Kluyveromyces lactis: one gene and its partners. The protein of the gene in region 1 purifies or fractionates together with the protein of each later gene. This does not show direct contact. Links are inferred from orthologs where the notes say so. Each region holds a gene or a part of one and is shown on either strand. Other genes may lie near its edges.

The links. The genes of interacting proteins can lie anywhere in the genome.
Region 2: the proteins of RPG1 (region 1) and HCR1 purify together in Saccharomyces cerevisiae (affinity purification with mass spectrometry; 8 studies listed by BioGRID, with this or other methods). This does not show direct contact. The link is inferred for Kluyveromyces lactis from reciprocal best matches to the Saccharomyces cerevisiae genes RPG1 and HCR1.
Region 3: the proteins of RPG1 (region 1) and SUI2 purify together in Saccharomyces cerevisiae (affinity purification with mass spectrometry, with the first as the bait; 4 studies listed by BioGRID). This does not show direct contact. The link is inferred for Kluyveromyces lactis from reciprocal best matches to the Saccharomyces cerevisiae genes RPG1 and SUI2.

The regions. Positions count from the first base shown.
Region 1 is NC_006039.1:1,266,817-1,270,416, reverse strand, and holds the start of RPG1 (translation initiation factor eIF3 core subunit a), read left to right. Parts: upstream 1-1,229; coding exon 1,230-3,600. Other genes in the region: AAA family ATPase SEC18, read left to right, coding at 1-912.
Region 2 is NC_006041.1:1,750,727-1,753,018, forward strand, and holds HCR1 (translation initiation factor eIF3 core subunit j), read left to right. Parts: upstream 1-744; coding exon 745-1,578; downstream 1,579-2,292. Other genes in the region: PAR32 (Par32p), read right to left, coding at 1-51; DLD1 (D-lactate dehydrogenase), read left to right, coding at 2,141-2,292. UniProt on the Saccharomyces cerevisiae protein: Component of the eukaryotic translation initiation factor 3 (eIF-3) complex, which is involved in protein synthesis of a specialized repertoire of mRNAs and, together with other initiation factors, stimulates binding of mRNA and methionyl-tRNAi to the 40S ribosome.
Region 3 is NC_006037.1:1,020,562-1,023,148, forward strand, and holds SUI2 (translation initiation factor eIF2 subunit alpha), read left to right. Parts: upstream 1-964; coding exon 965-1,873; downstream 1,874-2,587. Other genes in the region: KLLA0_A11792g (uncharacterized protein), read left to right, coding at 1-534; MHO1 (Mho1p), read left to right, coding at 2,502-2,587. UniProt on the Saccharomyces cerevisiae protein: eIF-2 functions in the early steps of protein synthesis by forming a ternary complex with GTP and initiator tRNA. This complex binds to a 40S ribosomal subunit, followed by mRNA binding to form a 43S pre-initiation complex.

The sequences.
Region 1 (3,600 bases):
AATTTCTCCGGTGCTGAAATTGAGGGTTTGGTGAAGAGTGCTAGTTCTTTTGCAATCAACAAGACTGTAAATATCGGAAAAGGGGCAACCAAACTAAAAACCAAAGACATTGCAAACATGAAGGTGACTAGACAAGATTTCTTGAATGCGTTAGATGAAGTGACTCCTGCGTTTGGTGTTAGTGAAGAAGATTTGAAGACTTGCGTAGAAGGTGGAGTCTTTAGGTTCTCCAACTCCGTAGACGACATTTTGAAAAACGGTGCTAGATACGTCCGTCAAGTGAGAGAGTCAGACAAATCAAGACTAGTATCCTTACTAGTGCATGGTCCTCCAGGTTCAGGAAAAACTGCCTTAGCTGCCGCCATTGCATTGAAGTCTGAGTTCCCATTTGTTAGATTAATTTCCCCTGAAGAAATAGCAGGTATGTCGGAAACGGCCAAGATCGCATACATCGACAATACCTTCAGAGATGCTTACAAATCGCCACTTAACATTCTAGTTATCGATTCGATAGAGACTCTAGTTGACTGGGTTCCAATTGGTCCAAGGTTCTCTAATAATATCCTACAAGTACTCAAGGTCTATTTGAAAAGAAAACCTCCAAATAATCGTCGTTTGCTTATCATCTCTACTACGTCCGCTTACACGGTGCTTAAGCAAATGGATATACTAAGTTGTTTCGACAACGAAATTGCTGTCCCAAACGTATCAAACCTAGATGAACTGAATAACATTATGACAGATTCCGGATTTCTTGACGATGCTGGTAGAGTCGAAGTTATCCGCAAATTATCCCAAGTTACATCTACTCTCAACGTCGGCGTGAAAAAAGTACTCACAAACATTGAAACAGCAAGACACGATGAGGATCCCGTCAATGAACTTGTTGATCTAATGGTGCAATCATCTTGAATTATACTATTCATTTCTAATATGATACATTTATATATATATATATATTATACATATGTGATATGTACTCGCGACATAGCACATAAACTTCAACTTCGTTCTCAATGATATCAACTTTTGATGAAGGTTGAAATTTTTCAGCATGCTTCCGTTGAAGATCAAAGAGAATAAGTGAAAAAAAACTTTTCAGTCTATTTATGTGAAACTTCTTCCTATTGCACCTTGCAAAATAAAGATATATACTTGGATCTAGTCTCTGATTTAGAAAGGGTAGATAACAACCGTTCTCGACCCATCGATTATACTAGCATTTCATCATGGCTCCACCGGCTTTACGTCCTGAGAATGCCATTAGAAGAGCTGACGAATTAGTCTCTGTTGGCGAGCCAATGGCTGCGTTGCAATCTCTATTTGATTTATTATCTTCAAGAAGGTCTCGTTTTGCTGATGCTGCCACTTTGGAACCTATAATCTTCAAGTTCTTGGAACTTGGTGTTGAATTGAGGAAGGGTAAAATGATCAAGGAAGGTTTATACCAATACAAGAAGCATATGCAACACACTCCCGAAGGTTTGATTTCTGTAGGTGCTGTTGCTCGTAAATTCATCGATTTGATCGAAACTAAGATGACCAACATCCAAGCGCAAACTGATGCCAAAGAAGAATCCAACAAGGACCAAGCCGAAGAGGATCTAGAGGGTGGTGTCACCCCAGAAAATTTGTTGGTTTCTGTTTACGAACAAGAACAAACTGTTGGTGGATTCAACAATGATGATGTTTCAGCTTGGTTGAGATTTACCTGGGAATCTTACCGTACCACTCTAGATTTCTTGAGAAATAATTCTCAATTGGAAATCACGTATGCGGGTGTTGTTAACAGAACCATGCAATTCTGTTACAAATATAACCGTAAGAATGAATTCAAGCGTTTAGCTGAAATGTTACGTCAACATTTGGATGCCGCAAACTACCAACAACAGAGATATGGTCACCACACTGTCGATTTATCAGATCCTGACACTTTGCAACGTTATTCTGACCAACGTTTCCAACAAGTTAACGTTTCTGTTAAATTGGAATTATGGCATGAAGCTTTCAGATCCATTGAAGATGTTCATCATTTGATGCGTCTCTCGAAGCGTGCTCCAAAGCCCTCTGTGTTGGCCAACTACTACGAAAATTTGGCCAAGATCTTCTTTGTCTCTGGTAACTATTTATTGCACGCTGCTGCATGGGAAAAATTCTACAATTTGTACTTGAAGAATCCAAATGCTTCCGAAGAAGACTTTAAGTTCTATTCATCTCAATTTGTCTTGTCCGCTTTGGCAATTCAATTGGATGACTTACCAATTGCTGGTTTCGATCCTCAAATTCGTCTATGTGACTTACTAGACCTTGAAAGTAAACCAAAGAGAAAGGATTTGATTACTGCTGCTGGTGAACAACAAGTCGTAGAGAAAGCTGACGCTGATATTTTGAAATTCTTCAATATATTGGAAACTAATTTCGATGTGAAGTCTGCTAAGTCTCAATTGTCTGCACTTTTGCCAAACTTGGTTGAAAAGCCATATTTCGCCCAATACGTGGCTCCATTGAGAAACCTATTCATCAGAAGATCCATCATTGAAGTCTCAAAGGCTCAAACATCTATTCACTTAGTTGAATTGCATGAAATGTTGTCACTGCCAGCTCCTTTCGAATTATCTGTTTTTGAACTAGAAAAATACTTAATCCAAGCTGCTATGGATGATTATGTTAGTATTTCCATTGACCATGAAACTGATACCGTTTCATTTGCCCAAGATCCATTTGACGCTTGGCAAGCATCTCTTGTTGAAGTTCCCGAATCTAGCACTTCTGATGAAGCAAAGAACTCTGAATCCGAAGAGGAAACCTCCCAAGAAACGCATGCTGATGAGGAACAGAATGAACAAGTCTTCACTCGTAACTCAGAAGTCCGTTCTAAGTTGACTGATCTATCCAAGATCTTAAAGGCCAACGAAGAATACGAAAATGGTTCTTACTATTACAGAGTCAAACTTGTGCGTGAAGAATTGATCAGAAGAAAGGAAGAAGTTATCAAGTTAGAAAAGGAAGCTGCTGAAATTAGAGCTAAGAGTAACGCTGAACGCAAGAAGAGAAGCGAAGAAGAAAACAAGATTCTTGCCAAGAAGGCTCTAGAAGAAAGGCAAAGACGTATGGCTGAGGAAAAGGCTGCTGTTGAATCTTCTATGGAGAAAGAAGCGGAACGTCGTGCTGAAGAAATGATGGAACGTGAGAGAGAAGCGATCCATGAACAAGAAATGAAGAAGTTGATTGCTGAAACTAATGCCAATGGTGTCATTCATATTGATCCAAAGGAAGCCAAGAACCTAACAAGTGATAAGATCAACCAAATGGTCATTGAACAAGTAGCCAAGAACAAGAAGGATTTGACTGAACGTATGACCTATGCCTTCAAGAAGTTAGATCACCTGGAAAGAGCCTATAGACAAATGGAATTGCCATTGTTAGAAAAGGACGCTGAAGAGCAAAAAAAGAGGGATAGAGAGAATTACGACAATTTCAAGAAGAAGTTAATTGAGACTTCCAAGGCCGACTATGAAAAGAAATTGGCTCTACATCAACGTTTGAACAAAATCTACAGTACTTTCAACCAATACAAGTCATCTGTTATCGCTGAAAAGA
Region 2 (2,292 bases), on another chromosome or scaffold:
TATCATGTTTCCTGCGCCTCCTCTTCCAGTACTTACTCTATATTCACCCATGCCGATATATTGAATAATCTCCCAAAGATACTTTCTTTATTATTGCGTTGCCAAACAACTATTCCAGATTAGGTCCACTTGTCACGAGCCTATATCACAATGGTTAGATTGGACCAACAACTATTAAATGGATGCACATTTTATGTTTTCAATACTGACATGTATATATAAAAAAGGTTCGGATCGAGAGTTGATCATTAATTGTGTGTTGGTCAAGGAATCGATGATAAGGGACCGAAGGTCGTATGGGATGATGAGGAGCCTGGTGCATGAGTGACGCCAGAAAAAGTAACTATTTAATTTTGAGAAATAGGTATCAAAAATAAATTAATTTTGGAGCGTCATAATGGGCAGAACAGGATATGAATACGTCAATTGGGTACCATTAAAAGGGAAGTGATCATTAACATGTTATATGGTGCCAGTGGAACTCTGGATAGACAAAAAATCGTGGTCTATAGCAGGGTATTTTCGTTCTACATGCAATATGATGGTTTGACGTAGCAGTCTTTGCGGCAGAAGGGAGGGACGGAGGAAGGAAGACCACTGCCCCGGGTAACAGCTCCCAAAAGACCCAAAAATCGAAATTTAATGCCACCCATAAGCATCTTGACAAGAATTTGTAACGAGGACAATCAATAAACACTTGCTTTCAGCAGCTCTACCCTAACCGAGATCAATTATCAATCAACAATGTCCTGGGACGACGAAGATTTTGCAGTGCCAAGTGGCTCCAAAGAGAAGCCAGTGTTGAATTCATGGGATGATGAGTTCGCTGAAAACGACGATGAGCCGGTACTAGAGTCCTGGGAGGACGAGGAGACTGCTAAACCTAAGCCTAAGGCAGCAGCAGCAGCTGCAGCCAAGGCTCCAAAGAAAGCCTCTCCATCACCAGCTGCTACACCAGCTGCTACAAAGAACACCATGCTCGATATCGATACTCTTGACGACAAGACCCGTAAAGAACTATTGAGAAAGGCTGAACTGGAATCTGATTTGAACAACGCTGCAGACCTTTTCGGCGGTCTTGGCGTCGCAGAAGAACATCCAAGAGCCCGCGCCGAACGTGAAAGAGAACAGCTTGCAGCTGTCGCCCAACCTGCTGCGTTGACCAAGGATACCCCAATCCAATCGCACCCATTGTTCTCGGATTTGGAAACCAAAAAAGATTACCAAGAATTAAGGAAAGCGTTGGCTACCGCAATCACCTCGACAAGCAACAAATCCTTGTTGAACTACTCTGGTGGACTAGCCATCGACTTGATCAGAGACATTTCCAAACCAATGACCGTCGAAAACATCAGACAAACCATTGCGACATTGAACGTATTGATGAAGGATAAAGAAAGAGAAGAAAGACAAGCTCGTTTGGCCAAAGTCAAGGGAGGCACCGCCACAGGCGGTGCCGGTAAGAAGAAGGCCAAGGCTACTAGGGCTAACCTCGGCGGTGCCTTCAAGAAGGATAACGATTTCGACCTAGGTGGTAACGATAACTTTGACGATTTCGGAGAAGACGATTTCATGTAATAGAAAAAAAAAACAGATCTCATCACATATCATCATCACATATCATATATAGAACGTAAACAATTGAACTGTTAATATTGCCCAAGTCTTGTTCGCTAGCCCGGTCGCTCTTTCTCTCTCTCATCTACCGAATCTGAGAGCGCTCTTGACTCTCCACTGGCCCAGTGCTGCCTCAAACCAGTACAACAAGATCCGATCCACGCTACATCCCACGCTACGAAGTGAAAAATCATCATGGAAATCCGGCAACAAAGAAAAGCCAGAGAAGACCAGAGGAGAGCAAGCCGGATATGTATCAAAACAAGGGTGGATGAACCAAGTCGTGGAGTCGACGGTATATGATTGTTCCTATTCCGCGTTTGAACTGTTTTTTTTTTTCTCAGCTATGAACTTGTACTTATATATATATATATATATATATGTATAATCGAACGCCGTCTGTATTCCGCATATCAATATACTATATAATAAGGTAACAACTTGGTAGAGAAACTTGGTAACTTAGCAGCTGTTTTGTGTACTTGTTATCGCAAAGTGCAAGAAAGACCAGAAACGCAACTCAATGTTCAGGTTTGTTGGAAGATCCGGTTTTGCTTTGCGTGGTTCGCTGCAACTACGTAAGGACGTTCTGCGTTCTAGGACCACTGCCGTTGCAAAAAGACATTATTCGTCTTCTAACGGTAATAACGGCGGTGGATTTTCGTCCGCCATTTT
Region 3 (2,587 bases), on another chromosome or scaffold:
ATCGGCGGTTTGAATCCTGGTACAGATGGAGAGTACGCGTTGATCTGGCATGATCAAAAATGTCAAATCGTGTTCCATACTGTATCCCTAATGCCTAACGACGACAAAGCAGATCCAGATCGAACAATGAAAAAAAGACACGTTGGTAATAACTTTATCAACATATATTACGATGAACGAAAACAGGACTCGTTCCCGTTTGACATAATCAAAAGTCAATTCAATTTCATAAACCTTGTCATCAAACCAATGTGGAACGGCAAAGATGAAAAAGACTCTGTGAGTGAATTCTATAAGGTGAAGATTTACAGAGCAAAAGAAGTTCCTGGTATATTCTCTACATCCCACTTCAAAATCATGCATAGGCAGCGCCTCGCAGCGTATGTCAGGCATTTATGTACTGTCGCAAACACATTCGCACAAATTTGGCACGAGTCCGTATCGTCAGAACACTGTTCTACATGGTCTCGCAGATTCGCACACATCAAAACAATCAAAACGAGGCTAAAAAATCAATCTTCTGGCGCTTCTTAGCACGATCGCATCTAGTATGGGTTACTGGTAGTTAGTATCTCTGCAGCTTAATACCTGAGGGCCATTAGTAGTAAGTAATGAAACTTAATTATAATAGTTAGGTCACGTGTAGTACATCACTCTTAACGAGCAGATCTAAAAATTTTTCGAAACTGTGATGCGAAGTATCAAAAAATTGAAAAGATTGATCATTGGAAAGCATATACAATATTGAAGCAACAAAGCAATTTCAATATCGGTATACAAAGGTTTCCAATTAAGCTTCGAACTTACGCGAGCAGTCTCTGATACCGAGGAATTTAATTTATCTGTATCTTGCGATAGATAACGATTACAAACAGAGTATACTTTCTTTGAGTTTGTGGTATATCTTCCAATTGAAAAATTACACAAGAATTTATCATCAGAGCCATTAGATATACAGAGCAGGATGTCCACTTCCAATTGTAGGTTTTACGAGAACAAGTTCCCTGAAGTTGATGATGTTGTGATGGTAAACGTCCAACAAATCGCTGAAATGGGTGCTTACGTTAGATTATTGGAATATGACAACATTGAAGGTATGGTTTTGTTATCTGAATTGTCAAGAAGACGTATTAGATCTATCCAAAAGTTGATTCGTGTTGGTAAGAATGAAGTTGTCGTTGTATTAAGAGTGGATAAGGAGAAGGGTTATATTGATTTGTCTAAGCGTCGTGTTTCTGCAGAAGATGTCATCAAATGTGAAGAAAGATACCAAAAGTCCAAGGCCGTACATTCCATCTTGAGACAATGTGCTGAGAAATACCAAGTATCATTGGAAGATTTGTACAAAGCTTATGCATGGCCTTTAAGTCGAAAGTACGGTCATGCTTACGATGCCTACAAGATGTCCATTGTGGACCCTAACGTTTGGGATGGTATTGAATCTATCAGCGACGAAATTTTCCAAGAATTGAAGGGCCAAATCACCAGAAGATTGACCCCACAAGCGGTCAAGATCAGAGCAGATGTCGAGGTTTCATGTTTCAGTTACGAGGGTATTGATGCTATCAAAGAAGCCCTAAAATCTGCTGAAGAGTTGTCCACTGAACAAATGCAAATCAAAGTCAAATTGGTGGCTGCCCCATTGTACGTCATCACCACCCAATCTTTGGACAAAGATCAAGGTGTTCAACTATTGGAAACTGCTATCGCAAAGATCGAAGAAGTCATTCTAAAGTACAATGGTGTCTGTAATGTCACAATGGCTCCAAAGGCTGTCACCGCCACTGAAGATGCTGAATTACAAGCACTATTAGAATCCAAGGAATTAGAAGGTAGATCAGATTCCGAAGATGAAGACTCCGATTACGAATAGATGGTTTAAAGTGAAACCAAAAAAAAAGGAATTAAAAAGATATACTTCTACTGCTTCCTGTTGTTATACGTGTATACAGCGTTTCGATACCTATAAGTCTTTGCATGTCCTCTCTCCATTTCTTACTTCACTTAACATTGCATTATATTTACTGATGAAGATGAAACAAAAACAAAAGGCCATTTTCTAACAGATGTTCAGGTAATAAACCTATGTTTCCACTTGACTGTGCAGAGAACTACTCTAGCATTTGAACAGGTGGTATCTGCCAATTACTGTCAGCCTTTCCATTCGATTACGACTGGACGTTTTAAAGGATTTTTACATTAGGAAACTCCCATTTTCCTTTTTTCTAGTTTCTTCTTATAATAATAAAGGGAAGCTCCATAAATCCTTATTTTGAAAAAAGAGTGAAAAGTCTTTAAAGTACAACGAAACGAAACTTCTATGTAGTAACATTAGCACATCGGGTATTTCATTTAAACGTGTATAATAAACTAATTCGAACGTCAACGTAATTTGCATTTATTCACAGCCTAGTTGGGATCCTGTATGGTATTTCATCGCTAGGCCAGGAAAATAATAAGAAAAAAAGGGAAACACATAGACAGATATAAGTCGCAATAAGATGAGTTCAGTAAGACCAGCTACTCATGCCGGATCATGGTATTCTTCTTCTCCTGCTTTGATAACTACGTTGCAACAACTATTGTC